Linked DNA regions of Danio rerio. The protein of the gene in region 3 binds, or shares a complex with, the protein of the main gene of each other region. Links are inferred from orthologs where the notes say so. Each region holds a gene or a part of one and is shown on either strand. Other genes may lie near its edges.

Region 1 (3,500 bases), on a different chromosome or scaffold from region 3:
ATATAGTATTATTTTCAGTGCTGGTAATTGCCACATTTTTGGGTCTATTTCTGTTGTGTTCTGTGCATGTGACATTGTGATGATTCGCAACACACATACAGTCAAAATAGTAAGGATCTTCGCTTACTTTGCAGGCATTTCTTGGTTATTGCATGAGTTTTCGTAAGTTGCAGCACGTTAAGCTCTCTCTGCCACCATATATATCAATCCTTCTGACATGTGCATGCATTATGTTGAATAACCCGGTTGTACAGAAGTAGCAAGTGTACACAGTCGACTCACCAGCAGCAGGAGTGCCTTGCGTAGCTGCAGGAACATGCTCTACGAGCTGCGGTCGAACCTCGGACACCTGAGAGCTGGAGGCCTGATGCTCGATCAGTTTCACTGCCGTCAGTGCATCCGGTCCGAATGTCTGCAGGTCCACCGAGACCAGCCGTACTAAAAGATCTTCACATGTGAAAAACTGATCAGTTCACTTGGTTCTGGTAGTATCAAATGTTCTTGTTGCAATTAATTCCTGAAGCTTTTATCAAGATATATAGTATTATCATAATATTGACCTACAGTTAAAAAGTAGTCAAAATTATTCGCTTTCCTGTTATATAGTATAATATAATAACATTATATAATATAAAATTATTTTAATATAATAATAATAATATAATTTATTATAATATATGATATAATTTAATTTAATATAATTTTATATAATAATAATAATAATAATAATAATAATAAACTTTATTATAATATAATTTAATTTAATATAATATAATTAAATATAATAATAATATAATTTGTTATAATACAATATAATTTAATTTAATATAATTTTATATAATAATAATAAACTTTATTATAATATAATTTAATTTAATATAATATAATTAAATATAATAATAATATAATTTAAATATAATTTATAATGTAATTTAATATAATATGAAATACTTTAATATAATTTAATTTAATATAATTTTATATAATAATATAATTAAATATAATAATAATATAATTTATTATAATATAGTTTTATATAATTTAATATAATATAATAATGATAATAATAATATAATTTAAAATAATATAATTTAATATAATATAATAATATAATTTAAAATAATATAATATATTTTAATCTGATTTAATCTTATTTAATATATTATGATATAATATACATAGTTTTTTATGCACATTTTGACAATTTATGTGCATCTTGGCATTTTATTTCCCATATTCCAAAATGTGCATAAAAATAGGTGGATGGAAACGCAGCTAGCGGCAGACTGAATTTTTTAGCTGAACACAAACCTATGCTTCTCTCCACGGAGGAGATTTTGGAGCAGGTTATCTCTCCGAGCTCAGCCAGCTGATACAGGACCTCCAGCGCAGAGATGACCAGCATGACGTCCGGCAGCGTCAGAAGAGCAATGATTTCTCGGTATGACTCCTGATCCACATACTCGCAGATCAGCACACCGTTATCCTCCACTTTGCTCAGGTTCCCCAGGATTTCCATGGCTGTAGGATGCAATGAACATCTTAAAGGGATAGTTCACTCAAAAATGAAGTTGTAATCACTATTTAATCTCCCTCAAGTGGTTATAAACCTTAGGTGTTTCTTTATTCTGCTGAACACAAATTATTTATATTGATGAATGATGGAAACTTGTAACCATTGACATCCATAGTAAGAAAAACAAACACTATAGATGTCAATGGTTACAGATTTCTAGTTTCATCAGAATATCTTCATGTGTTTCTTCTGTTATGTCCCTTTTTACAAAATGTAAAGTAAGTCTCTGATGTCCCTAGAGAGTCTTATGTGTCAGCTCAAATACCACACTAATAATGTTTTATAACTTTAGAAACTGCCCCTTTTAGGCTTTGAACCTAATTGTGCCACTTTTGTGACCGTCTCTTTAAATTCAAATCAGATTTTTTCAAAAGAGGGCGGAGCTATAAATGCATGTGCATCAGTATAGTGGCAGACTCAAAAACAAGACTAACATTCTATGCTAATGAGGGAGATGGTCACTAAAGGCTTCCCCCTTTGATGACACGTACAAAGGGAGAATGTCAATCAAAGTGTTTCTGCAGACTGTTTTCATCAAGAGTGATTATAAAATCTAAAAATAATAAATGTTGATCATTGGAAGCCGGTTATTTTCACAGACTGCTTCTACACAACTGCGTTTAAACCATTTATAAAAGGGATTTATGCATAATAGGTGCCTTTTAATCTCTATAGGCTTGAAGCAAGTAAATAGTGGGCAAGTCGTTTGGGTGAACTATCCCTTTAAGCAATTCCAAAAGGAAAACAGCAGTTCTGACTGCACAAATGTTTGCTTTAAAACACTCACCCCTCATTTTGAGAAAACGATCCCGTGACAATAAGCATTTGGTGATGGTGTGAAACATCAGATGCGTTGTTCGGAAATCAACCGGATCCAGCTGAAGCTGAAACAAACAATCCAGAAAGACAACTATTACTTAAAGATCTGACAAACAGTTAATAAACAGTCTGTAAAATATTGCAGGGATTATTTTTGCTTAAAACAGACTAAAATGCTTTAAGCATTAGTCATATTAGCAGACACATAAATAATCTGGAAAATGAAAATGCTGTTTTTTTTTTTTTGTTAAAAATGTTGTATTTTTGTTTAAAAGCAGAGCTACGCTCTTTATTTTTATATATAATGTGCATAAATAGCAAAAAACATTCTGAATTAAGGTAAAAATAAAGTTAAATAAAAATAAGGTAAAAAACATAGACTCTGTCAAGTTGTCATGACAAAAACAGGTTGTGATGTATTTTGCACATCACCTGTGCATTTAAAATGTCATAACAGAGCGAACGACACTAAATGACAGTTGTTATAAGCATGCATAAAATCTCCACATTCACGATGTGTCATGTCACGATTATAAAAGTCTTTGTTCCATTACTTTCAATTGATCTTGTTTGTCTTTTTGCCCCTTTCAGTTTTCTAATGGTTAATTTGGCAGCGTCAGGCCTTTAAAACGGACAGAAGCAGACTTCTCGCGATCCCTCATTCCTCCATGCCATCAGTTTTTTTCAAAGATTTATTTTGGCCTTTATGCCATTATTAGATAGGACAGTATTGAGACAGGAAGCGAAGTTGGAGAGAGAGAGAGAAAAAGGGGGTAGGGTAGGGAAATGTCCTCGAGCCGGGATTCAAACTCTGGACGCCCTGACGAGCTACTGCACCATTTGTCAGCGCGCTAACCACCAAGCTATTGCGCAACCACAGTTTTTGACAGCTTTATAGTCGTGTTCTCGTTTATACTTTCCTTTTAATATTTGTTTGGTGTCGGGAGTTCCAATCTGCTTTAAGTTTATTTGCTGGTTATTTATTATGTTGTTGAGCTCCCCATCTCTTATCATTTGGTATTGTTTTGCTGGTAATCTTATGTTAATAAATAATTTAGTTGGAGCCGTTGTTTATATATGGCAAGTCGTCTTTGGATCACGAGTC
Region 2 (3,500 bases), on a different chromosome or scaffold from region 3:
AGTATAAACAGAAAGCATGCGTCTCGCTCGGCATTTGGTTATTGTTAGTCAACAAACGCCGGTTGTACATTAAACGCGTCGGGCAAAGAAAGCAAGAGAGGTATTTTTGTGGACAGACGACGAGGTCGAGTTGTTACCGAACGTAACAAATGAATAACTGCACAGTGGCGCCTAAAACAGACAATAGTGCAAACAACGCTCCCATTTCTGTGTCCATGTTGTTGTTTTCAGTACTAACTTCCAGTAGCATTAAAGCCATGTGTTATAGTCATGTGATAGAAACTTGACGAAGGAGGGAAGGATACGCAATGACACAAAAGCCTCAATCAGGTAGCGAATCTCAGCAGCCCCGCCTCCGTTTTCAGATGTCTCCGTTTTTCCTCATCCACACTGAAATGGAGCAGCAGCTTTTTAGAATGAAAACGGCCTCTCCAGCGTTTTCAAAACGCTCAGTTTTCGGCGCTCGAGAACTCCGGCGTAGTGTGGATGGATGGCTTAACCGTAGCAAAACTTATGCGTTTTAAAACTAAAATGCATTACTGTAAACGGGGCCTTAATGGCAAGCTGTCCAATGACAGCAGAGTTGTCTTATTTAAGAAAGGGGTTTACAGCCTAAATTTTCAAACAAACATCAAAATCATTGTAAAATGATTCTTATAATTGGCATATTCTGAGAAAATTACAATATTTTCTCAACTTAAATGCATTTAAACCTGCTGTAAGGGACTCAAACACAATATTAGGACACTTTAAAAAACAATGACAAAACATGATGGAAAGCAGAACCCTTTCTCCTGCACCACACCTCTTGTATATACAAAACAAATCTGCTCAAACATTCAGACCACTGCCAAGAGTCACTTTGATATGCAGCAGACCAAGCCACAAAACAAAAGAGCAGAAAAAAGTAACGCTTTCCCCCTGTGACGGCTCGCCAAACACTTTGAGGACTGTTTATTCAGCCAGAACAAAGACATAACTTTCCGAACATGGTGAAACTTTCGAACCTTGTTGTCGAGGCCTGCAATCTCCTGCTGACTGGCCGTGGAAAGCAGGAAAGAGTTCATCTGGGTCTTCAGGGTGTCGTCCACTTCCACGTCAATATCATAGCATGCAGTCTTCTTCTGGTCATTGGGATCAACGCTAAGAAGTAAACAGCAGTTTAGATGACGTAGCAGATAAGGAAAGATAGTGATTCTGACTAACATGTTATCAGTGGGTACCTGATGACGTGGTTGATGATGATTGGTTCTGGAGGCATCAGTAGGGCATGCAGCCGCTGAGGGATCTCAGAGAACTTCATCCTCTGGGTTTCAAAAATCTACATTGAGAAAAACAAGTGTTAATAGGTTCAAATTACACACGAAGACACGAAACTACTGGATTTTAAAGATCTACATTTGGAAGAACAGACAATTATCAGGTCCATCTAGTATAAGGTATCTAGAAAGAACCACCTGTTGATTATTGGATTTATAACATCTGGAAAAAGAACTGACAATTACAGGGTTTGTTTCAAAGCATTAAAACCACATGGTATAAATTGTTAAACTTAAAAAATTAAAAAAAAATCAGAACAAGCAGAAATAAAACAACTTCTGGAATTGTAAGACTGACAATGAGAAGAACAATTACAAGGTTACAAAAATCCAGAAAAAACAGCCAGCTATTATTGTTTACAAGTTCTGAGGAATTTAAAAAAAAAAGTAAATTGAATTTAAAACCTTTAGAATAAGAAGAACTGACAATGGGTTTTGCAAATATTTAAATAATAATAATAATAATCAGAACCAACAATATTTACACTCAGTACGCTTACATGGACACCAATAATTCGATTTTAATGCGATTAAAAGTTAAAAGCGATTTTTGATTAATTTAATCCGATTAAGGTCTTAATTGAACTAAAGAGAAATAGAATTAAGACGTGTGGAGTATGCCGATTTCAGTCGCATTATTGAAGTGCGGTACAGACATGTAAAAACCTTAATCAAACTATTACCGTCATGTAGGACTTCTCACCGGGTTTTGTGATAGGATAAAACAGTCCATAGACTAAGGCAAATAACTCGATTACTGATGTCCATGTAAACGTAGTCACTGAGAAGAACCAACCGCTGTCAAAAATCTAGAACTATCTATTATTGGTTGTACGATCTATAATAAGAATTAAAACTTAAAACGAAGATCTAAAATAAAATAAGTCAATTAATGGATTTCAAACATCTAGAATGAGAAGAATTGTAAAAGGAGTTTGTTTCAAAGACCTACACCAAGTAGAAGTGCCAATTATTAAATGAATTAAGTTGAACTATAGCCGTTCAGGATCAAATATTTTAAAGTTTAGTTTCACAGTAGTTTTTTTCTGATAATACTGAAATTTTTTACTAGTCTTTAATTATCAACTAAAGAAGTTTATAATTGTCAGACGTCACCACTTCTGTCTAAACGGGTATTTCCAGTTTAAGTCTTCATTCACTAGTTCCCATAAATAAAGTCCATGACATTCGTTACCTGCTGGAGGTATTTGTCACAGTTGATGAACTCTCGTTCATGAGGGTCCTGGAGTTTGTGGGTCTTCACATACTGCCACAAAGCCTGAATGATCACAGGCCGGGTCTGAGTGTGAATCCCCAGCAGCCGGGCCAGGCGGGGGTCCAGCTTATACTGAGGGGGCTAGAAAGAGAATGATTTCGTCCATCAGTCACATTTAATCTAAATAATATCCAGTTCAAGCATGTCTCAAGAAGAGGTGGCGCCATCTGCTGGTGATTTTTGAACAAAAATGCTAATAAACACACCATGTGCACAACTATAATTGAAGTTTACCTGGTAGTCCAGCATGAGCAGTACAGTACAGCGGACCCCAACATCCCCAGGCCTCTTGACCTGAAATCCATCTGTCTCCTGAGTTGTGGCTGTTCTGTGCCACTGTAATGAAGACAAAGATGTGAGAAATGGCACATAAGTGACAGCAGTGAGGATCTACTGGACAGCACAGCAATAAACTAAGTTTAAAGTACTATACTTGAGAAACACAATTTCTGATTCTCACCTCAACCAAATGATTGTCAGGTCCATACAAGTCTTTGTCCAACTCGATCACTAAAGACTTGAAAAAAGAAGAAAACTTCCTCTTCTGCTTGGTGGCTTCATACTTGGACACAGCGGTCTGTGATAAGAGAAAGAAATTGAGTTTATTGCCATATCAGCTTCTTTGGCTATGTCATGGCATTGGCATATGATTATAAAAATATTATAGCAATTAGAAGTCATCACCAGCAGTAAATAATACACAAGATAAAAATAAATGAACAACAATAATAATGATAATATACAAGATAAAAATCTAAAACAATTTATGGTTTCAGTCTGTGACAAAGAATTCAGTTTTACAAATAAAAATAGTGTACTTCTACAGAAACGATAAGGGGTTTGACCTAATGGGATAGCTCACCCAAAAATGAACAATTAATCATCATTTACTCGTTCAGAACAAG
Region 3 (4,100 bases):
CATAACTGAGCTTGAACTAAGCCAGATGTGTTTTTGTGTCATGACTGCAATGAAATGGATAAATCAATGAATCGTTGCGTTTTAGGTGTGCTAAAGGCGTGCTTTTTCTCAAAGCAACCTGAATGGTAGAATTGTTTTCCTTATTTGAAATGAATAAAAATGTATTTTAAATGTGGGTCAAGATGTAGGCCAACTTTGCTGTATGCTGTGTGCCTTGCAGATTTCAACTGCAGAGTCTGCATCCAGACCATAGACCTGATCCAGACTCTCAAAGTGTAAAACCCTGTTTAAGCACTAGATGGCACAATTTTTTCTTTCTGTAAAAATATATGTTATTTTTAACTCGAAAGAATGAAAGTAAAGTAAAGTAAAGTAAAGTAAAAAAAGTAAAAAAAAAAAAAAAAAAAACTATTTAAAAAGTAATAAAAAAGTAATAAATGCGAAAATAAGAAAGAAAAAGGGAAAATAAATAAATATAGCAGTAGACCTACATAAAAGTCTTTCCCAAGGACAAATTCATTGTCTACAGCGACTTATGATGTTCAGCGGTGGAATTACACATGAAAACTTTCTCATGGCTACAAAATATGCTACATTTTGCCTTTTTTATTTGCATGATGTACAAAAATATTATATTATTATATTATACTATATATATATATATATATATATATATATATATATATATATATATATATATATATATATATATATATATATATATATATATATATATATATATATAATTTTTTTTAATTCCATAGCTTCCGAGAATTGTGTTAAATCATTTATTTAAATCATAAAAATGGATTAGTTATATGCATAAATATAATACTATATAAAATAATGTAATATAAAAATAACTCAATCAATTTTCGTTAATATCTAAAACATCTGAAATTCTTAAAAAATTCTTTAAAATAATATAAATATCTAAGTATCTCATGTATTTGTAAGATTTTGGTAAATTCGATTCCTAAGCGTACTTACAATTGCATACTGCATTAGAGTGTAAACCAGCTCTAAACTAGTAATCATCATATTATTTAAATATTTTATTATTTTGATTCTTTAGTTGGATATTTATTTTATTTTATTTTATTTTATTTTATTTTATTTTATTTTATTTTATTTTATTTTATTTTATTTTATTTTATTTTTATTTTATTTTTATTTACGTCTCGACTGGTCTCTAACGCGCAATGATGAGCTCTCGCGAGATCTCCTTCGAGCAACGACTCCTGTGTCGGCGTTGCGCAGACGCAGTGCTGTTTTAAACATTTTCCACGGACTAGCCTCTATCGCTAATAAAGAAACAATGGCGACAGCGGCGACTGCAGCGGGCGGAACGGGCTCCGGAGGACCATCTGCCGGCCAAACGGGCGCCGGTTCCTCGATCGGACGTAAAAAAGACGGAGGGCCATCTTCCAAGTATTGGGAGAGCTCGGAAACGGTGTCCCAGTTGGAGACAGTTCGCTTGTGGATCGGGAAACATTATAAGAAGGTCTGCTGCTCATGAGGCGCCCGTTGAATGGGGGCGCGCGCATCACACAATAGCTACAAGAAGCGGCACGCGCGATTTCTTGTTGTTTATTCGCAATTATTGTCGGTTGTTTGACAGGGTCGAACCAGAGCAGTCGTGCAGATTGTGTTCAGCATCCGTACTGGCGTTTTAGTCGGCAAGTTTAGCTGTTGTGTTGTTTTAAGCGGCAGTGTTGTGGGTTGTTGAGTTAGCTCGCGCGCTAACGTTGCTGACTGAGATCTGCCATGATGAGGATATGTCTTAAAATCTGCTTAACTGCCGTGTTTATGTTCGTCTTATTTGTACTTGCTTTATTAAAACTGTGTCTTCCATTCGTTCTTAATGTATTTAGCACCACAATGTATCAGTTGTTTATGCAGAAGTTTGTTTACTGAACCTTTAAAGGGATAGTTCACCCAATAATGAAAATTCTGACATCCTTTACTCACCACTTGTTTCAAACCTTTATGATTTTCTCTCTTCAGTAAACCACGTAAGAAGATATTTCGAAGAATTCTAAAAACCTGTGACAATTGACTTCCATGGTATTTGTTTTTACTACTATGAAAGTGAATGCTTACAGGTTCTTAAAAGTAATTATCATCTTTGGTGTTCAGCAGAAGAAACTTACAAAGGTTTGGAACCAATTGAGCGTGAGTGAATATAAATTTTGGGCGAACTATCTAATATTGTTTTAACAGAAGTGCCATGGAACAGTGATTATGTAAATCTCATAAATATATAGCTGTGTATTTACCTGTGAAAGTATTTCATCTTGGTATTTACAAGGTGATTCAAGTTGTCACAAATGACACAGTGTTCACTTAGATTCAAGATTACTTGTATAGCGCTTACAATTATCTTCCCAAAGTAGCTTCACAAAAGGCATTACAGTTAAAATCAGAATAGTTAATGAGTTGTGTAAACAGTTGGCAGTGTATAAACATGGTTAACATGCAGTTATATGGTGATTTATTTTTTACAAAATAATCAATATTTACATTAATAATAAGGATGATAATAATACATGTTCGATGAAGTGTACTTGTGTCTTAAGTCTTTGTTGTCGTTGAAGATCTCTGATGGTTGGCATCATCTCTTCAAGTCCTCACAGGATTGGCATCTCTTTTCATGTCTTTGATCTGATCGAGTGGCACTCCACAATCTAGAAATAGAGAACAAAGAAAATAATTTGCATAGATGCTATTTATAATTTATTTGCTCAAGATATTACTGTAATGTGAAAGAACGCATTTGAAGAGTTCAATTTAACTGTCCTACAGTTATGTGATGCACTGTTTAAATGCTTTACTAAAAAAGATTTACAATGGCATTATGTTTAGTTGAATTATTTAGTTTTGATGTGTACCTAAAGCTAAAACATGCTTGTTTATTTAAGTCATAATTGTTCATTAGATCATTTAATTACTTCACTGTGTTATCCAAGAATTGCAGAAGCATGTATTGACTGGAGATAGTATGTTTTACATGTATTGTTACTTCCAGGTGTAATGATTTCACTGGAAAAGTCAAATGCTTTGTTTCTTAGTTGAATTGCTTGTGTTTAATAGGACTTGTTTTTTTCTGCAGCATGTCCAGACTGACTCTCCTACAAGCAAAACATTGGCTGCACTGGTGGTGCAATTGCTGCAGTTTCAAGAGGATGCATTTGGACGTAGAGTCAGCAATCCTGCCCTCACCAAACTACCTGTAAGTCTGGATTTGCAGTATTGTTTTAGCTTTCAGTAAGTGTTGTCATCTGTAGTATAATAATATTAGCTCCTTATCTTATAAAGCTTTTGCATTACAACCACTTCAAAACAAAGCAAAAGATGAACACAGACACAAATGCACAGTAATATCAATACCAGATTTCTCTTAAAGTTTAATTTTTAATTCATTCAGTAACTGTAGGTAACAAAAGATGACTAGCTGTGTTTGCCTGAAACAACAAAGAGTTAGATCACAGCACCCAAATGTTTGATGACTTGTTATTAAAGAATAACACAACTTGAAATGTCACAACTAGGACTGTACAATTAATCGCAATCACAAAAAAATCGTGATTTAAGCGCATGCAATTTTTAATCTATTAATTTATTTAGATTTTTATACAGAATACGTTCTTGTGTGCATGATTTTAATGTTAACCAATCAGCTGACATTGTGCACCACGCAAATACAGCTAAGCTGAGCTGGAGAAAGATGTTAACCAGCTCACTCCGCACACAACGAAGTTGAGCGTGAGGAAAGAACATAAAATACGGGTGCAGGTCAGAATAAAAGTTATTTGGTGCCAAAGAGAAATTCAACATCAGTTGTTTGGGAGAATTTAAGATTCAGGAGAGACAATGTGTCACAGAGCAAGGTCATTTGTAAGACTTGTGAAACGTTTTTTACGGCAAAACTGAGCAATCCTACAAATCTGTTCCAACACTTAAAACAGCGTCATAAAAAACTGTATGATCAATGCATGTCGACAAACTCTATCGTAACAAATAAATGCACACATCAAAACCAGCCCAAACAGACTGAACAAGTATTCATTGGTTAAGCATTTGCAAGCGTTGTGCCTTAT
Region 4 (3,500 bases), on a different chromosome or scaffold from region 3:
TTTTAGCTCCAACCCTAATCAGACACACCTGAACAAGCTAATCAAGGTCTTGCTAGGTATACTTGAAACATCCAGGCAGGTGTGTTGAGGCAAGTTGGAGCTAAACCCTGCAGGTACACCAGCTCCTCAGGACCAAGATTGGTGACCCCTGGCTTAGATGTTTGGTAAATTAAATTAAAAAACATATGAAGAGTTTAGATGCAAAAACCTCTAAAGGCCGTTTTCTACTGAAAATAACGATTTTCTCCGACTCCTATGTGCAGGCTCTGTAATTTTACTGTTAAAATGATGAATGAGTTATTTTCATTGACTTAAACGAGAATATAAACATAGAAGGCTGGAAAAAATGCTCATTTTAGCAGAACATGGCATTTAGAGGTTTTTGAATCTGAACCCTTCATATATATGTCATGATAGGTGTCAATGTGGTGCAGTGGTTAGCATGATCGCCTCACAGCAAGAAGGTCGCTGGTTCTAGCCCTAGGGGGGTCAGTTTGCATTTCTGTGTGTCTCTGTGTTTGTATGTTTTCCCTGTGTTAGCATGGATTTTCTCCAGGTGTTCCGGTTTCCCCCACAAGTCCAAAGACATGCGCTATTGGTGAATAGGGTAGGCTAAATTGGCCGTGCTGTATGAGTGTGAAAGAGTGGGTATGTTTCCAAATGTTGGGTTGTGGCTGGAAAGGCATCCACTGCATAAAACATATGCTGGATAAGTTGGTGGTTCATTTTGCTGTGGCGACCCCAGATTAATAAAGGGACTAAGCCGAAGGAAAATTAATGAATATCATGTAAAACAATTACATGTTCTAAAAGTGTTTTCCTTTGTGTTATGCCTTAAAAATAACATTATGAACTGTAAGAAAACCAGAACTAAATGGATATTTTATTTTATTTTTTTGCCAAGAAATTTCCGATGGAGGAGTTATGGAAATTTTAGGTTGTTTTTTATACAATGATGGAATACGTCAGATAAGGCTGTAATGCATATTCTCTTGGCAAATTGCTTTTTATGTTTATAGATGTTTTTTTATGTTGTTTTTGTGATACAACAATGTTGTACATATTTCTTTATACTTATAATCAGAAAAAAACAACAACGAACAAACAGTTTTTCCATTAATTTAATAGGCCGACTGAACCAAGAGAACTAAACTACAAGCATGAAAACATTCTAAAACCAAGCAGCTTACTGTTGGTATCATATTTGTGACCAACATGTGCTGTTCATGAGCAAGTTTTCTGTCGGGAATATTTTCTCCCTCTTGTGAAGCTTCCATATATCCACTCAAAGTATTATGTCACCAAGTAGTGGCAATCATGACTGCATACCTTAAAATGTGTGCACATAAAAATACAAAACGCAAAAACTAGAGAATAGGGATGCACTGACAAATTTTTAGTCCGTTATCGATAACCGATAACTCTTAAGATTTGGATGTCCATAACTGATATTAGCCGATAAATATAAATATTTTTCTAAATATTATTTATAACTATTTACTAAATGTTATAAATATTGCAAGGTGATTAGACTTATATTCACCATTTCACATAAATCATTCATTCATTCAGTTTCTTTTCGGCTTAGTCCCTTTATTAATCAGGGTCGCCACAATGGAATGAACTGCCAACTTATCCAGCATATGTTTTACGCAGCGGATGCCCTTCCAGCTGCAGTCTAACACTGGGAAACACCCATACACTCTTTCATTCACACATACACTACATCTATTTTAGCTTATTCAGTTCACCCATATCGCATGCTTTTGGACTGTGTGGGAAACCGGAGCACCCGGAGGAAACCCACGCAAATATGGTTAGAACATGCAAACTCCACACAGAAATACAAACTGACTCAGCCGGGGCTCGAACCAGTGACCTTCTTGCTGTGAGACGATCTTGCTACCTACTGTGCCACCTCGACACCCCTCACAGAAATCAGCATACCAAAAATAAATCATTTCCTTTTCTTTATAGCAAATGAACATGCAACTTGACTGTTGCATAAAAATAATAGATTAAATGACAAAATTGGATTTAAATAACAGACAAGTAAAATATATAATTTAAATAAAATTAAAATAAATGTAAAAAAAATTAAGAACTAAAACCAGCTCAAATATTCTTAAATAAAACATGTTACAGTAATGTACATATGTCCAAATATGTAATGTCCGGAAAAGCGCTCTGAGAGATGTTTTGATAGTTCAAAGCCACTGTACAAGCGAAAAGCTTAATACAGATAGTATTATTTTAGAAAATGCGGCATAAATTTGTCCCATTTGGAGTTTTAGATTCATTTGAACATGTAGCTGCTGCTTGTCAATCAGACAACACTTCTATGTTCATGCTTTGTCAATTGCTGGAATAATGATCATTGAAAGGTTTTTGATAAACCTTCAGATTTATCATAGTCAAATTTGTCCTCTGAGTCACATTTTGACACCACACCTGAGCACTGATAACTTAATGACAAACACAGTGCATTATATAGAGACTTGTAAAATTATATAGAATTTGGTTGAGAACCACTATGCTGGATTCATGTCTATGTCGGCTCACTATGTGTGTGTGCGCCGTGCTGATAGCCATCATGTGCGCTCGTTTTAATCATTACAAATATGCAGATCAAACTGTATACAGTCTTACATCAACAACAAATTGCAAGCAATGCGTTGCTAATAACAAATAATTAAAATATATTACAAACAACCCAACGAGTTGTTTAGCATGTGTGCATCGCTGCTATTATGCTTACATATGTAATATTTTTTCTGTGGTGTTTTAAACCAAAATACATAATTACACTCAGTCAAATAATCTGCAATGATAAGGAATATGGTTACTTACTGAGATGTTAATGCACAGCAATACCACACAAAGAAAGGACGGGCTTTGAAGAAATTCTTAATGTGAGGAAAGCTCGTTATAGTGCACTCAAAATGTCTGAACAAGTTCAACCCACGCATGTGTGAGGCAGGCAGTTCAGTACAATTACATAATTTATTGGCATAAAGATATCAGCCTAATTTTGAGACCGGACCGATAACATAAAAAAAAAAAATAAAAAATCTATCGGCCGATAACAATATAGCCGCCAAGATATATTGTGAATCCATACTAGAGAATCAAAGCAAAAGAAAAACTGATAAATTCGACAGCACGTCGCATCATTTCTACAGAATACATCTTTTCCTCTTTTGCTTTTTAGGATACATGTCGCCTCACCCTTCACCGATGGGCCAGGTGCCGGAGCATGTGCCTAGCCCCATGTCAGGAGGAGGGCCGACCCCGCCACAAATGTCCCAGGGTCAGTCGCCCATGATGCCAATGGATCCGCAGGGGATGGGACAGCAGGCCAGGGGTCAGTCTGCCTTCAGCCCAGTCCAGCTACAGCAACTCAGGGCTCAGATCCTGGCGTACAAGATTCTGGGACGAGGCCAACCTCTGCCTGAAAACCTACAGTTAGCTGTGCAGGGCAAGAGGAGCCTTCCCACCAT
Region 5 (4,284 bases), on a different chromosome or scaffold from region 3:
TAAGCAACCTGGATACAATTTTTGGAAGAAAGCCCCTTCATTAAACTGGTTAATGTTTTCATTGGCACACATTAAGGCAGAAATTAATTAACCCAGACTCGTGGCCCATTTTAAGTTCTTTTATATTGCAGCTATAACTGGCTTCATTCTGTAGCTGCTATGATGCTATAATTTTTTACAGATGAGCTTTCAGGGCATTAGGATGAGATCAGATCTTAAGATGTCAAATTAGTGCTGTATTTTCATGGTGGTGGTCGCTATAAGTGTTTTTAAGAATCAAAGTATAATGCAGTTTTATTATTATATATCTATAAAAATAATTAAACAGGCATATTCTGATCAAGAATTGGTTAATGACATTTAAAATAGTCTGAGCATAAGAGTGCAGCCTTAAAATATTAATTAATTGCTGATTTAAAATTTTGATACCTTGGTTTGAGGGCTTGCAAAACTTCTGGTAGCATTTCGGGCTGGCACTCTTCAGTTTTTGTCAGCCTGATTTAAATTCAAGTAGCCTGAATTGAAAATGTATTATTTACTAAATAAATAGAAATATATACATTTACACGTTTACTAAATAACAAAGTTATTATAGTGCTTTCATTATAGGCTACATATAATTATAAATTTACGTTTACATTTTTATTTTATTTTTTTGAAAATGACCATTTCATTTATTATTATTTTTTTTTTTCTTTTCATTTTGTAATTGTCCCTGAAAAACAATCATGCGACAATCTGGTAGGTCACCTGGTACCTTTATTTAAATTTTTTTAAATCAACTTTGTACCAAAGTACCGGCTATTTTGACAAAATCCATTAGTGCAAATACGAATTCAAACATTTATTGATGGTGGGACCCCAATGCATGAAAATTACATACAGCATAATTACACAATCTATGAAAGAATGCAAAAGTATTGAAATGGGCTATGTTTTTTCTCCTGTTAAGATAGCCCGACAGGCAGGATGGATTCATTTTTGGTAGCTTGACTGGAAAACATAATAACCAATGAATGTCAGGCTAGCAGTTTTGCAGCAAGCCCTCCTAACGTCTCTCTAGGATTTGTCAGCAGAAAAGTGTTAATGATTTAAAATGAAAGAATTTAACCACAGCATCTTTTTTTAATACATTTAAATAAATGTGAGAGTTCAGGTATTTTATTTAAATTTGACTATACCTTATATTGAAGTTACCACTTTTAATTACATTAATTTACTTTCAATGCTTAATGACGGATACACTTTTATGCAGACACTAAATCACCATACATGAAAAGCGTGAGCTTATAAGAAAGTTTTTTTTCTTGTAAGTCATTAGTAAATCAAAATATTTCTATTTGTGTTAAACATGTAATTCATTTATGCATTTTAAGAAATGTTAATCATGGCTAAGTTCTGGAATAAAATGAATGTGTTTTTCCAGGCTTTCTGAGAATCCAGAACACTGTGTTTCTGCCTCTCACTTCTGGCTCTGCTGAGAGATGTCCACTCCTGACCCACCCATGGGCGGGACCCCTCGGCCGGGACCTTCCCCAGGCCCTGGGCCGTCTCCTGGGGCCATGTTAGGGCCTAGTCCTGGACCCTCACCTGGCTCTGCCCATGGCATGATGGGCCCCAGCCCTGGGCCCCCCTCTTCGGGACACCCTCTACCTCCACAGGGCCCCTCAGGTTACCCGCAGGACAACATGCACCAGATGCACAAGGTATTAATGGCTTTTATCAATAGCACTTGTATAAAAAGTTTGGTTTTTAATGTAATTAAAAAATGAAAAGAAAACTTTTCATGCTCATTAAGGCTAGATATGTTTATCAAAAATATTGTAAAAAGAAAACTTGCAAAATATTATTAGTATTTTAAATAATTGAATGTAAAAATGTAATTCATTTCTCTGATTCAAAGCTGAATTTACATCATCATTTTCTTTCAGTCTCCAGTGTCACATGATCCTTCAAACATGTATGCCCTATACCACCTTGGTTTATTAAAAAGCCTTCTAATATAATGCAGTGATGCACCTTTCTCTGTACTAAAAAAGGCAAATGTTTATCAGAAAGAATTTATAAATACACTATGCAATCTACATCTTTTGTACCAGTGTTTGCAGATGGTTCAAACTCAGATGGACGCGTATCTGCTGCATCAGTGATGGGTTCAGAGTGTTTTAAAAAAAAAAGTATTGCCGGATAAAGCTCTATATTCACAGCTGAAGCTTGTGCACTGTTTGTAGCTTTGGAACAAATAGAAAAAGAACAGTAACGCCAGTTTTTAATTTGCACAGATTCTATATCCTGCACACAAGCACTTGAATCTATGAAAACCGATCATCCTATGATTTTTAGCATAATAGAAAATGTCAATGTGGACCTTTTAAAGGAAAAAGACTTTGATATAATTTTTTTTGCTGTATATCTGGTCATAAGGGATTCATTGGAAATGAACGTGGAGATAAAACAGCTAAGGAAGCCCTACAGTTGAAGTTGAAAGTAACAAACCTTTGTCTGATGTTAAACCTGCTTTAAATCTGAATATTAATACGGAATGGTGAATGGAATGAATGTAGAAAGAACAACAATTTGTATTAAGTTAGTCCATTTGAAAATAAAATAAATAATTAGCATTTTGAAAGTACACATGGTCAGGCTGTACACATGAGATGCAGAATCGGACACTCATGACTCACACACTTGTATTTATCGAAAGGGGAAGAAAAACCTATCTATGACTTGTGTAAGAATATTTTTATGTTAAAACATATTTCAGTAGAATGTGTGTTTTTAAATGATATTAGAGAACATTTTTATTCAGGAGATATTTTAAGGGAAATGTTTATTTATTTGAATTAATACAATATTTATATTTAATTAGACTAAAATATTGTATATGACTCTTAATGTGTTTTTTGTTCAATGTATGTTTAAGAAACTGATACGATTGTTATATTTTATTTATTTAGTATAGGTTTTGCCATGAATATAGCCAATACTACTGATATGTCATTAAAATATAATTAAATCATGATCCTTCAGAAATCATTATAATAATATGACAATGTGCTGTTCTATTATGATCAATTATTATTGCTACTTGGTCTTTAAGGATTCTTACAATAATCAATTTTGAAAACTTATTGCATCACATAAGAAATCTGTGATGGGTTCAGCTTTTTAGGATTCTTTGTTGAAAGGAAAGTTAAAAATAACAGCATTTTTCTCTTTTTGCATTAAATATTACTTCTGTTCCTGAACAATTTAATGTGTTCTTGATTAATAAAAGTAATTAAAGGCATATTATAATACTTTTGAATGGTGTGTATGAATGTTTTGTAAGGAGACCCAGAAGGGATGTGATGGTGGAAGGAATGGATGGGAGAAAAAAAAATGGAGAGATAGGAAAGTATATATGTTTTAAGTTTTTGTGTTTCCTTGCAAAACTGTTTTAACAAACACTTTCTGTTCACTTCATACATGTCAACCCTCCAGTTTTTGCTGGGATTGATTCTCCCGTATTTTATCATTCTATCCCGCTATAATCCTATCATTAAGTATTTTTCCGTATTTCTCCCATATGTTTGATCTTGAAAGCACGTTAATTAATATAAAAACGTCTGCTTTCACTTTCTTTCCATTAAAGCTGTGCATCAATCATACGCAAATTCTGAATCAGTGAATGCATATATAAGGGCTGACTGATGGATGTATGATAATCTGATCCCAGATCAGCTTCTGTACATTTCATTTAAAATGACACCTCTGTTATCAAACAAGTTAGGAGCAACAAATAAATCTCTGGTTTTGTTTTAGGGGGGTTGACATGTATGAAGTAAACAGGAAGTGTTTGTGGAACAACATGTTTGTGAGGTAATGCAAAAATAATAAAGATAAACGCAAAAACTTAAAAAATATATCTCCCTATCGCTGTTTTTTTTCTCCAATTCATATATATAATAATATATATATTAAATGTTTTCTGAGCAGCAGATCTAATTCTAATATGATGAGGGATCATGTGACACTAAAGAGTGAATTAATGATTCAGAAAATCAGGATGAAATGCGTGTAATGTTATATTTAATAAGAAAGTAGTCACACTAAATTGTATTAATATTTCACAACTGCCACTATATTTTCCATCAAACAAATATTATCTTGTGAGCAGAATAGGCTTCTTTTAGTAGTGTAGATCTGTTAGTTCAGTGTTGATTTTCCTTTCTGCTGTTCGGTCATCATCTTTGAGTCATGCTGTATTTTGTGTTTTTCTGAAGCCCATGGAGGGCATGCATG
Region 6 (3,500 bases), on a different chromosome or scaffold from region 3:
TTCACAGCCTTTGCGGTGAAGCTCTAAATTGAGCTCAGGTACATTCTGTCTCCACTGATCATTCTTGAGATGTTTCAGCAGCTTAATTGAGTTCACCTGTGGTAAATTCAGTTGACTGGACATGATTTGAAAAGGCATACACCTGTCTATATAAGGTCCCAGGGTTGACAGTGCATGTCAAAGCACAAACCAAGCATGAAGACAAAGGAATTGTCTGTAGACCTCTGAGACAGGACCGTCCGGGGAAATTCCTGCTGCTCTGAAAGTTCCAATGAGCACAGCGACCTCCATCATCTATAAGTGGAAGATGTTTGGAACCACCAGGACTCTTCCTATAGCTGGCCGGCCATCTAAGCTGAGTGATCGGAGGAGAAAGGCCTTAGTCAGGGAGGTGATCAATAACCCGATGGTCACTCTGTCTGAGCTCCAGCGTTCTTCTGTGGAGAGAGGAGAACCTTACAGAAGGACAACCATCTGTGCAGCAGTCCACCAATCAGGCCTGTATGGTAGAGTGGCCAGACAGAAGCCACTCAACGCCTGGAATTTGCCAAAAGGCATCTAAAGGACTCTCAGACCATAAGAAACAAAACTCTCTGGTCTGATGAGACTAATATTGAACTCTTGAATGCCAGGCGTTACGTTTGGAGAAAAGCAGGTATCGCTCATCACCAGGCTAATACCATTCCTACAGTGAAGCATGGTGGTGGCAGCATTATGCTGTGGGGATGTTTTTCAGCAGCAGGAACTGGAAGACTAATCAGGATAGAGGGAAAGATGAATGCAGCAAGGTACAGAGACATCCTGCATGAAAACCTGCTTTAGAGTGCTCTTGACCTCAGATTGGGACGACGGTTCATCTTCCAGCAGGACAATGGACCAAAGCACACCGCCAAAATACCAATGGAGTGGCTTCACAACAACTCAGTGAATGTCCTTAAGTGGCCCAACCAGAGCCCAGACCTAAATCCTATTGAACATCTCTGGAGAGATCTGAAAATGGCTGTACACCGTCGCTTTCCATCCAACCTGATAGAGCTTGAGAGGTACTGCGAAGAGGAATGGGCACAAATTCCCAAAGACAGGTGTGCCAAGCTTGTGGCATCATATTCAAAAAGACTTGAGGCTGTAATCGCTGCCAAAGGTGCATCAACAAAGTAGTGAGCAACGGCTGTGAATACTGATGTACATCTGATTTTTCAGCTTTTTTACTTGTAATAAATGTGCAACAATTTCAAAAACTCTTTTCTCACACTGTCATTATGGGGTATTGTATGTAGAATGTTAAAAAAATGAATTTAACCTATATTTTTATAAGGCTGTAGCATAAAAAATGTGGAAAAAGTGAAGCACCATCAATACTTTCCGGATGCACTGTACAGTACAACAAAAAATAGATATCATGACAGGCCTATTTGTGCGTACTCATGGCTAGTGAATGAGACCCAATATTTTTTACTTATCTAAAGAAATGCTTCTTGATTTAAGCATTTTTGATGATTTTTGGACTAAATACAAGACAATAACTAAAAGTAAGAAAAGTGTAGATTTAGTGGATTGACCCAAATATGAAGTAGTTCACCCCAAAACAAGGAAATGTACAGTCCTATTTAATCTTTGAGTCTTTCCAAATCTGTGTGCTCTTACTTTTATCTGTGGAACTTGAAAGGTGAATCTCGGCAACTGCTTTGTTGGCAACAACATTTTAATAATTAATAATTGGTGATGTTCGTAGTGGAAGCTGCGATTTGATAGTTGAAAACATGTAAAAGCCATGACATCTAACCTTAGTAGACATGTAGATTCTACTACTGTCTCATTTATGAGAAGACAGACTACAAACAATGCAGGAATCTGTTTCTTTCCCCATGTGTATTAATCCTTTAACTCTCTCTCTCTGCGGATTCTGCATGTGTTGCTTGGCAGCTGAAAGAAAGAAGAAATGAAAATAAGTGTACTAACAACTTACCATTGAACCCTTTACATTTTGTTTGTGTTTTTGTTCTTATGTGTTTTTTTCGTCCATAGGCCAGCCGGGTATCAAGGTGGCTCCCACATGCTTGGAATGGGTCCCGGAGGGCCTTACAGCCTTCCACCGAGCAATAGCTCTGCCAGGATGACCCCTCAAGGTCCCTCCTACAACACAATGCCCACAGGTAGGATTTAAAATACAATATTTAAAAGGGTCCTATTATACCTTTTTTATATGTAATTTATTTTTTGTGTAATGTTGCTTTTAAAGCATACATAAAAAACAAAAAAACAGTGTATAGTCGATGTAGTTTCTCGAACTCTGTCGGAAATCTGTAGTCTGAACCACATTAGTTAAAATGCAAAGCTTGTGGAGTAACAACTTCTTTAGATAAAGTAATTAAATCTTTATATACTAAAGTACTAAATCTTGATATGATTGTTTTATATATATATATATATATATATATATATATATATATATATATATATATATATATATATATATATATTTTTTTTTTTTATATTTTTTTTTTATTATTTTTAATTCAATCTTAGTTTATAACTGCATCTGCAAATGCTGTGTTCTTGACTTATAACCACTTTTATAATGTGCTTAATAATTGTACTTTCATAATTTGTGACTGGTTGATTTTTCATTACTGCATTATTTTTACAAACCATTTGTATTTACGAGTAGTTGGAGGTTTTTAAGAGCATTCAGAATGAGTTAGTAAATGATTAATGAACTATTGAAATTGATGTTTATATATCTTATTATTCAGGCACATACTAATGGACACTATGTATGTTAATAAATGCTTTACTTCTTGCAGTTTTGTGACCTATAATCTGATAATGGCAAATGTCTGATTTTACCAGTGAATAAAATTGTCTAATATGACAGATTGCATGCCTATATCTCAAACATAATAATTCAACATCAGAGTTATTATGAGTAGAATAGAATTATTTATAGAAGTCAGTAGACCCACACATAATATTATTATCGATGTTGTGCCATATGTTTGTCTTTACCTTTATTTTACATCTACAGAATCGTGAGAAAATCGTGATCTTTATTTTAAGCAAAAAAATCGCTATTCTCATTTTAGCCAGAATCGTGCAGCTCTAACGTACGCCAGATTTCACGCTCATGTTTGGATTTACTAACGATGAAATGAACGTGAGAATGTGCGTTGGTCCACGCCAACTTCATGGAGAATCAGAACAGAATCGCCAAACTATGTTTGTAATGATGAAATTTGCAATCTTAGTTGGCTAATATTGGTAATGCACCCCTGATTGAGTAAAATACCATAAAGTAATGACATTATAACGGTATTATTTAAATCTAAAATTTAATTCAGAAAGTGTGAGATTATAGATTTGGCAGCATTTATTGAGGAAAAAAAGTGCTTAATGCGGTTCAGCTTGAGATCAGTTACAGTATACAGTGTCTTTGTTTGGAGGCTGTTGATGAGATGTTGTGCACATCTCTGGATGGTGCAGGACTAAGGGTCTGAATCTCC
Region 7 (4,072 bases), on a different chromosome or scaffold from region 3:
CTTCTCTGTTTCACTGACTTGGTTTGTTTACTAAAAATACATTATTAAAACATTCACATTACTTCTTCTTCTACCTCGAGTTGAGCTTCAAACATGCTGACGTCGCCAAAATTGTGATGTCAGGACAAAACCAGCGAAATTCCAGAGCTCACTATATCAGCATTATTCTAATGTGCAAAGAATGTATTGAATGATTAACCAGGATTGAGCATCACTGAACATTAGTGCAGCTCCTATCCACTGAAACCGAGAGATGAGGAAGTGCCATCACCCATAGCTTGTAATATGCAAAAATAGTTTGAAAGCAAGTGGCAGCAACATTCACAGTGAATGGGGAATGGCATGTAACCATAGCAACGCAAAATTCATATTAATAATATGTTATGCAAGAAAGCTGCTAGCATATCGCTGCAAGAATGAGCTCTGAAGGTTTGGTCATGCAGTTAATTCGATTATTTGTGTCAATGTGTTGTTATTATTGTATTATGAAGCGACATTTGCAGTTAATTCAACCAACGCCATGCTACGATTCTCTCCTAACGAAAGAATATGAGATATCGAGTCTGCTGCAGAATGAAAGCTGGATATAAAGCAGAGAAATAAAGCCACAGTCAGATAACACAGCAGAGAAAGCAGCTGTCAGACATTCTTTATAGCTGCGCTAAGCTTTCATGACTTCCTGTTAGGGGTCTATCGGTCTTATTATCATGTCACTCGAAATAAAAGCTCGACAAGACAAACGTCGCGTGTTAGCGTTGCGGACGTACCCCTGTTCCGTTATCACAAACCACCACTTTTCTTCCTTGGCTGTCCATCTTTCAGAGACCCAGAGGAGCCGTCAGAGGAAGCCGAACTTTCTCAACAAAGTGCTTCTAGCACTCAAACAGCAGCGCAGGGTTTCACTTCCTGTTCCAGACAGTTGCGCGAGAAGACAAGCCTGTTTTTTTTACACAAGCCCCGCCTCCTACGCTGTTTTTTTTTTATAATTGACAAATTTTATTAAATAAAAAAACATTTAAAATGTCTTATCAATTAATTAAAAATAAAAATAATAAAAATAATAAATTTTTAAATTTAATACAAAACATAATTTTAAAATAAATGTAAAACATTTTAAATAGTTTGTAATTAAAATAAACCTTGTCCCAAAAAGTTACCAAAATAGACGTGCAATTAAATAATATTTAGTTTTCAATTTTTTGTTTTTAGAGATAGGAACACTTTGTCGCGTTCCCATTGTGCTAGTTTCCAGCCGGAATGTGACGCCCTTTCATTCGCAGAATAACAACATGGCAGCTGTTCTATCGCCGAGACCGTGCGATAGCAATCCTGCAACTCCTGGGACCCAGTCTATAAAGGTTTGTGATGTTTACTTACTACTTTTTCTTAGCAGAAGCTGCAGATATATCACTCTAGCAATGTAAAACTGTACTTACACCTGTACAGTTTCAGCGTGAGTGTGACGTACATTCGCCTTTGTTTGTTTACCATTAGCCTGTTAACGTTAGCCGAGGTAGCTGAACAGGCCATGCATTTCGAGTAATATTTCGTAAATTGATTAACACAGAAAAGTGGACCCGCAATGACTTATCTAGATGGTTTTGAACAGTCGTTTTTAGTTTATTGGCATGGTATAAACAATCACTGGCCACTTTATTAGGTACACCTTATTTGTACCTGGTTGGACCCCCTTATGCCTTCAGAACTGCCTTAATCCTTCGTGGCATAAATTCAACAAGGTACTGGAAATATTCCTCAGAAATTTTAGTTAATGTTGACATGATAGCATCACACAGTTGCTGCACATTTGTCAGCTGCTTATCCATGATGTGAATTTCCCGTTCCACCACATCCCAAAGGTGCTCTGTTGGATTTAGATATGGTGTCTGTGGAGGCCATTTGAGTACAGTGCACTCATTGTCGTGTTAGTCTGAGGTGATTCACACTTTATGACATGGCACGTCATCCTGCTGGAAGTAGCCATCAGAATATGGATACACTGTGGTGCATGTCAAAATTAGCCACTGAACAAATGTGCGAATATTAAACTTGACCTCAATTTATTTAATGTTAGCCTGCGAATACAGAAATCTATGTGACAGACTTTCTCTTCAAACAGGATGACATTGAGGAGAACTCCAGTGATGGGAGTCAAGCCCCCAAGAGGCGCAGGATGGGCTCAGGAGACAGTTCCAGGAGCTGTGACACTTCCACCCATGAGCTCGGGTCAGCACAATACACACACACACACACACACACACACACACACACCAGTTACAGGTGTTTTTTTTCTGACACTGGTCTGTAAATTCCCTTCAAAATAATTTATGTAAATAGACGTTCTCTCAAAAGTGAACTTATTTAATATAATATGATATATTTAGGATTTTAGCAATTCCATGCAGAGATTAGGTTTACGCCAAATTAGTGAAGACCTTTCAGTACTGTACAAATACACAAAATGTCTGTAAAATGTAAAATTCAAACAGTATTTTTTGTTTATTGTTTTCAATATTGCATCTATAGCGCATGTTTATTTTTCACATTTAAAGTATAAAATAGCTTTCTGCCAACCCGACTCTACACCATAACTTTTCAATCCAGATGGATGGGGCAACCATTACTGCATCCAAAATGGTGAAAAGCATTGGAGTAACGATTGAGGACCAACTAAACTTCTCTGACCCCATTTCTAGAACTGCTCGATCGTGCAGATTCGCACTCTATAACATCAGAAAGATCCGACTCTTCCTATCTGAACATGCAGCTCAACTCCTTATTCAAGCTCTTGTTCTCTCCAAACTGGATTACTGCAACTCTCTATTAGCGGGGCTTCTAGCTGACTCTATCAAGCCTCTTCAGCTGCTCCAGAACGCAGCAGCATGAGTGGTCTTTAATGAACCTAAAAGAGCACATGTCACTCCGCTGCTCATCCGTTTGCACTGGCTGCCAGTTGCTGCTCGCATCAAATTCAAAGCTCTGATGTTTGCTTACAAAGCGATTTCTGGCTTTGCTCCTTCTTATCTGCTCTCACTTCTGCAGATCTATGTGCCCTCCAGAAACTTGCGTTCTGTGAATGAACGTCGCCTCATGGTTCCATCCCAAAGAGGGAAGAAATCACTTTCCCGAACTCTCGCATTCAATCTGCCCAGTTGGTGGAATGAACTCCCTAACTGCATCAGAACGGCAGAGTCACTCGCTGTTTTCAAAAAACGAGTAAAAACTCAACTATTTAGTCTCCACTTTACTTCCTAATCTGCAATTGCCTCTCTGGATATACCACTAACTGTACTCAAAAAAAAAAAAAAAAAACTTTACTAATACTTTCCTTCTTAGACTTTACAGACTTACTTATTCATTGTTGCTCTTATAGTTGTGTAAATTGCTTCCTTGTCCTCATTTGTAAATCGCTTTGGATAAAAGCGTCTGCTAAATGACTAAATGTAAATGTAAGCTTACAGTTTGATATTTTAATCTCTTAACTCTGTGGATAGTTGTTTTGAAAAAGATGTTTTGATATACTGTTATGATGTATATTCTCTGTGAATTTAAGCTTAAATTTTCCTGCAAATGTCACCCCCATAAGGCTGAAATTCCTCACTTGTGTTTCTGTTTAGAGACATTTTATCTTAAGAATATTAACTTAAACGTCTTGTGAAGTGCTCTGAAATAAGCATTTATATTCAATGTTTGACGTAATCTCATCAGAAACACAAAGAAACGCAAAAAAGTGTGGCACACAGCCGGGGTATCTGTAGGGTTTAAAAAGACTTACAATCTCTTTAATTTCAAAAACAACATTTTAGGTCTTAAAAAGTCTTAAATTCACTGAAGTATTGTGCTGTAGCTCTTAAATCTTTTTTAACAAATTAAACATTTTCTATGTCCATGTAAAGCTACCCAATAGGGCTAACACCCATCCAATCACCAACTTTCCATCTCAATACATTTTTTTTTACAAATGATTATTTATCTCTATATACCAATATGGTTTCATTATCTTCCTTAAAATAGCATTTGTTTATATCTAATCTAGATATAGTCTAATCTAATAGTCAAAGCTGAAAACGTT

What was found.
Region 1: smarcc1a (region 3) and arid2 share a complex: the UniProt entries of both Homo sapiens proteins name them as parts of the SWI/SNF-B (PBAF) chromatin remodeling complex. The link is inferred for Danio rerio from reciprocal best matches to the Homo sapiens genes SMARCC1 and ARID2.
Region 2: smarcc1a (region 3) and smarcd1 share a complex: the UniProt entries of both Homo sapiens proteins name them as parts of the BAF complex. The link is inferred for Danio rerio from reciprocal best matches to the Homo sapiens genes SMARCC1 and SMARCD1.
Region 4: smarcc1a (region 3) and smarca2 share a complex: the UniProt entries of both Homo sapiens proteins name them as parts of the BAF complex. The link is inferred for Danio rerio from reciprocal best matches to the Homo sapiens genes SMARCC1 and SMARCA2.
Region 5: smarcc1a (region 3) and smarca4a share a complex: the UniProt entries of both Homo sapiens proteins name them as parts of the BAF complex. The link is inferred for Danio rerio from reciprocal best matches to the Homo sapiens genes SMARCC1 and SMARCA4.
Region 6: smarcc1a (region 3) and arid1b share a complex: the UniProt entries of both Homo sapiens proteins name them as parts of the neuron-specific chromatin remodeling complex. The link is inferred for Danio rerio from reciprocal best matches to the Homo sapiens genes SMARCC1 and ARID1B.
Region 7: smarcc1a (region 3) and phf10 share a complex: the UniProt entries of both Homo sapiens proteins name them as parts of the neural progenitors-specific chromatin remodeling complex. The link is inferred for Danio rerio from reciprocal best matches to the Homo sapiens genes SMARCC1 and PHF10.

What each region holds. Positions count from the first base shown.
Region 1 is NC_133179.1:1,986,170-1,989,669, forward strand, and holds part of arid2 (AT-rich interactive domain-containing protein 2), read right to left. Parts: intron 2,461-3,500; coding exon 2,364-2,460; intron 1,522-2,363; coding exon 1,312-1,521; intron 448-1,311; coding exon 283-447; intron 1-282. UniProt on the Homo sapiens protein: Involved in transcriptional activation and repression of select genes by chromatin remodeling (alteration of DNA-nucleosome topology). Required for the stability of the SWI/SNF chromatin remodeling complex SWI/SNF-B (PBAF).
Region 2 is NC_133197.1:7,406,996-7,410,495, forward strand, and holds part of smarcd1 (SWI/SNF-related matrix-associated actin-dependent regulator of chromatin subfamily D member 1), read right to left. Parts: intron 3,465-3,500; exon of another isoform or gene 3,414-3,464; intron 3,173-3,413; coding exon 3,056-3,172; intron 2,932-3,055; coding exon 2,830-2,931; intron 2,677-2,829; coding exon 2,515-2,676; intron 1,322-2,514; coding exon 1,224-1,321; intron 1,144-1,223; coding exon 1,008-1,143; exon of another isoform or gene 1-1,007. UniProt on the Homo sapiens protein: Involved in transcriptional activation and repression of select genes by chromatin remodeling (alteration of DNA-nucleosome topology).
Region 3 is NC_133191.1:46,885,164-46,889,263, reverse strand, and holds the start of smarcc1a (SWI/SNF complex subunit SMARCC1), read left to right. Parts: upstream 1-1,300; 5' UTR 1,301-1,318; coding exon 1,319-1,504; intron 1,505-3,112; coding exon 3,113-3,232; intron 3,233-4,100. UniProt on the Homo sapiens protein: Involved in transcriptional activation and repression of select genes by chromatin remodeling (alteration of DNA-nucleosome topology).
Region 4 is NC_133180.1:46,027,891-46,031,390, forward strand, and holds part of smarca2 (probable global transcription activator SNF2L2), read left to right. Parts: intron 1-3,211; coding exon 3,212-3,500. UniProt on the Homo sapiens protein: ATPase involved in transcriptional activation and repression of select genes by chromatin remodeling (alteration of DNA-nucleosome topology).
Region 5 is NC_133178.1:18,032,094-18,036,377, forward strand, and holds the start of smarca4a (SWI/SNF related BAF chromatin remodeling complex subunit ATPase 4a), read left to right. Parts: upstream 1-1,484; coding exon 1,485-1,706; intron 1,707-4,265; coding exon 4,266-4,284. UniProt on the Homo sapiens protein: ATPase involved in transcriptional activation and repression of select genes by chromatin remodeling (alteration of DNA-nucleosome topology).
Region 6 is NC_133195.1:5,081,288-5,084,787, reverse strand, and holds part of arid1b (AT-rich interactive domain-containing protein 1B), read left to right. Parts: intron 1-2,025; coding exon 2,026-2,153; intron 2,154-3,500. UniProt on the Homo sapiens protein: Involved in transcriptional activation and repression of select genes by chromatin remodeling (alteration of DNA-nucleosome topology).
Region 7 is NC_133188.1:6,008,459-6,012,530, forward strand, and holds the start of phf10 (PHD finger protein 10), read left to right. Parts: upstream 1-1,272; 5' UTR 1,273-1,289; coding exon 1,290-1,358; intron 1,359-2,119; coding exon 2,120-2,226; intron 2,227-4,072. Other genes in the region: actr2b (actin-related protein 2-B), read right to left, coding at 768-815. UniProt on the Homo sapiens protein: Involved in transcription activity regulation by chromatin remodeling. Belongs to the neural progenitors-specific chromatin remodeling complex (npBAF complex) and is required for the proliferation of neural progenitors.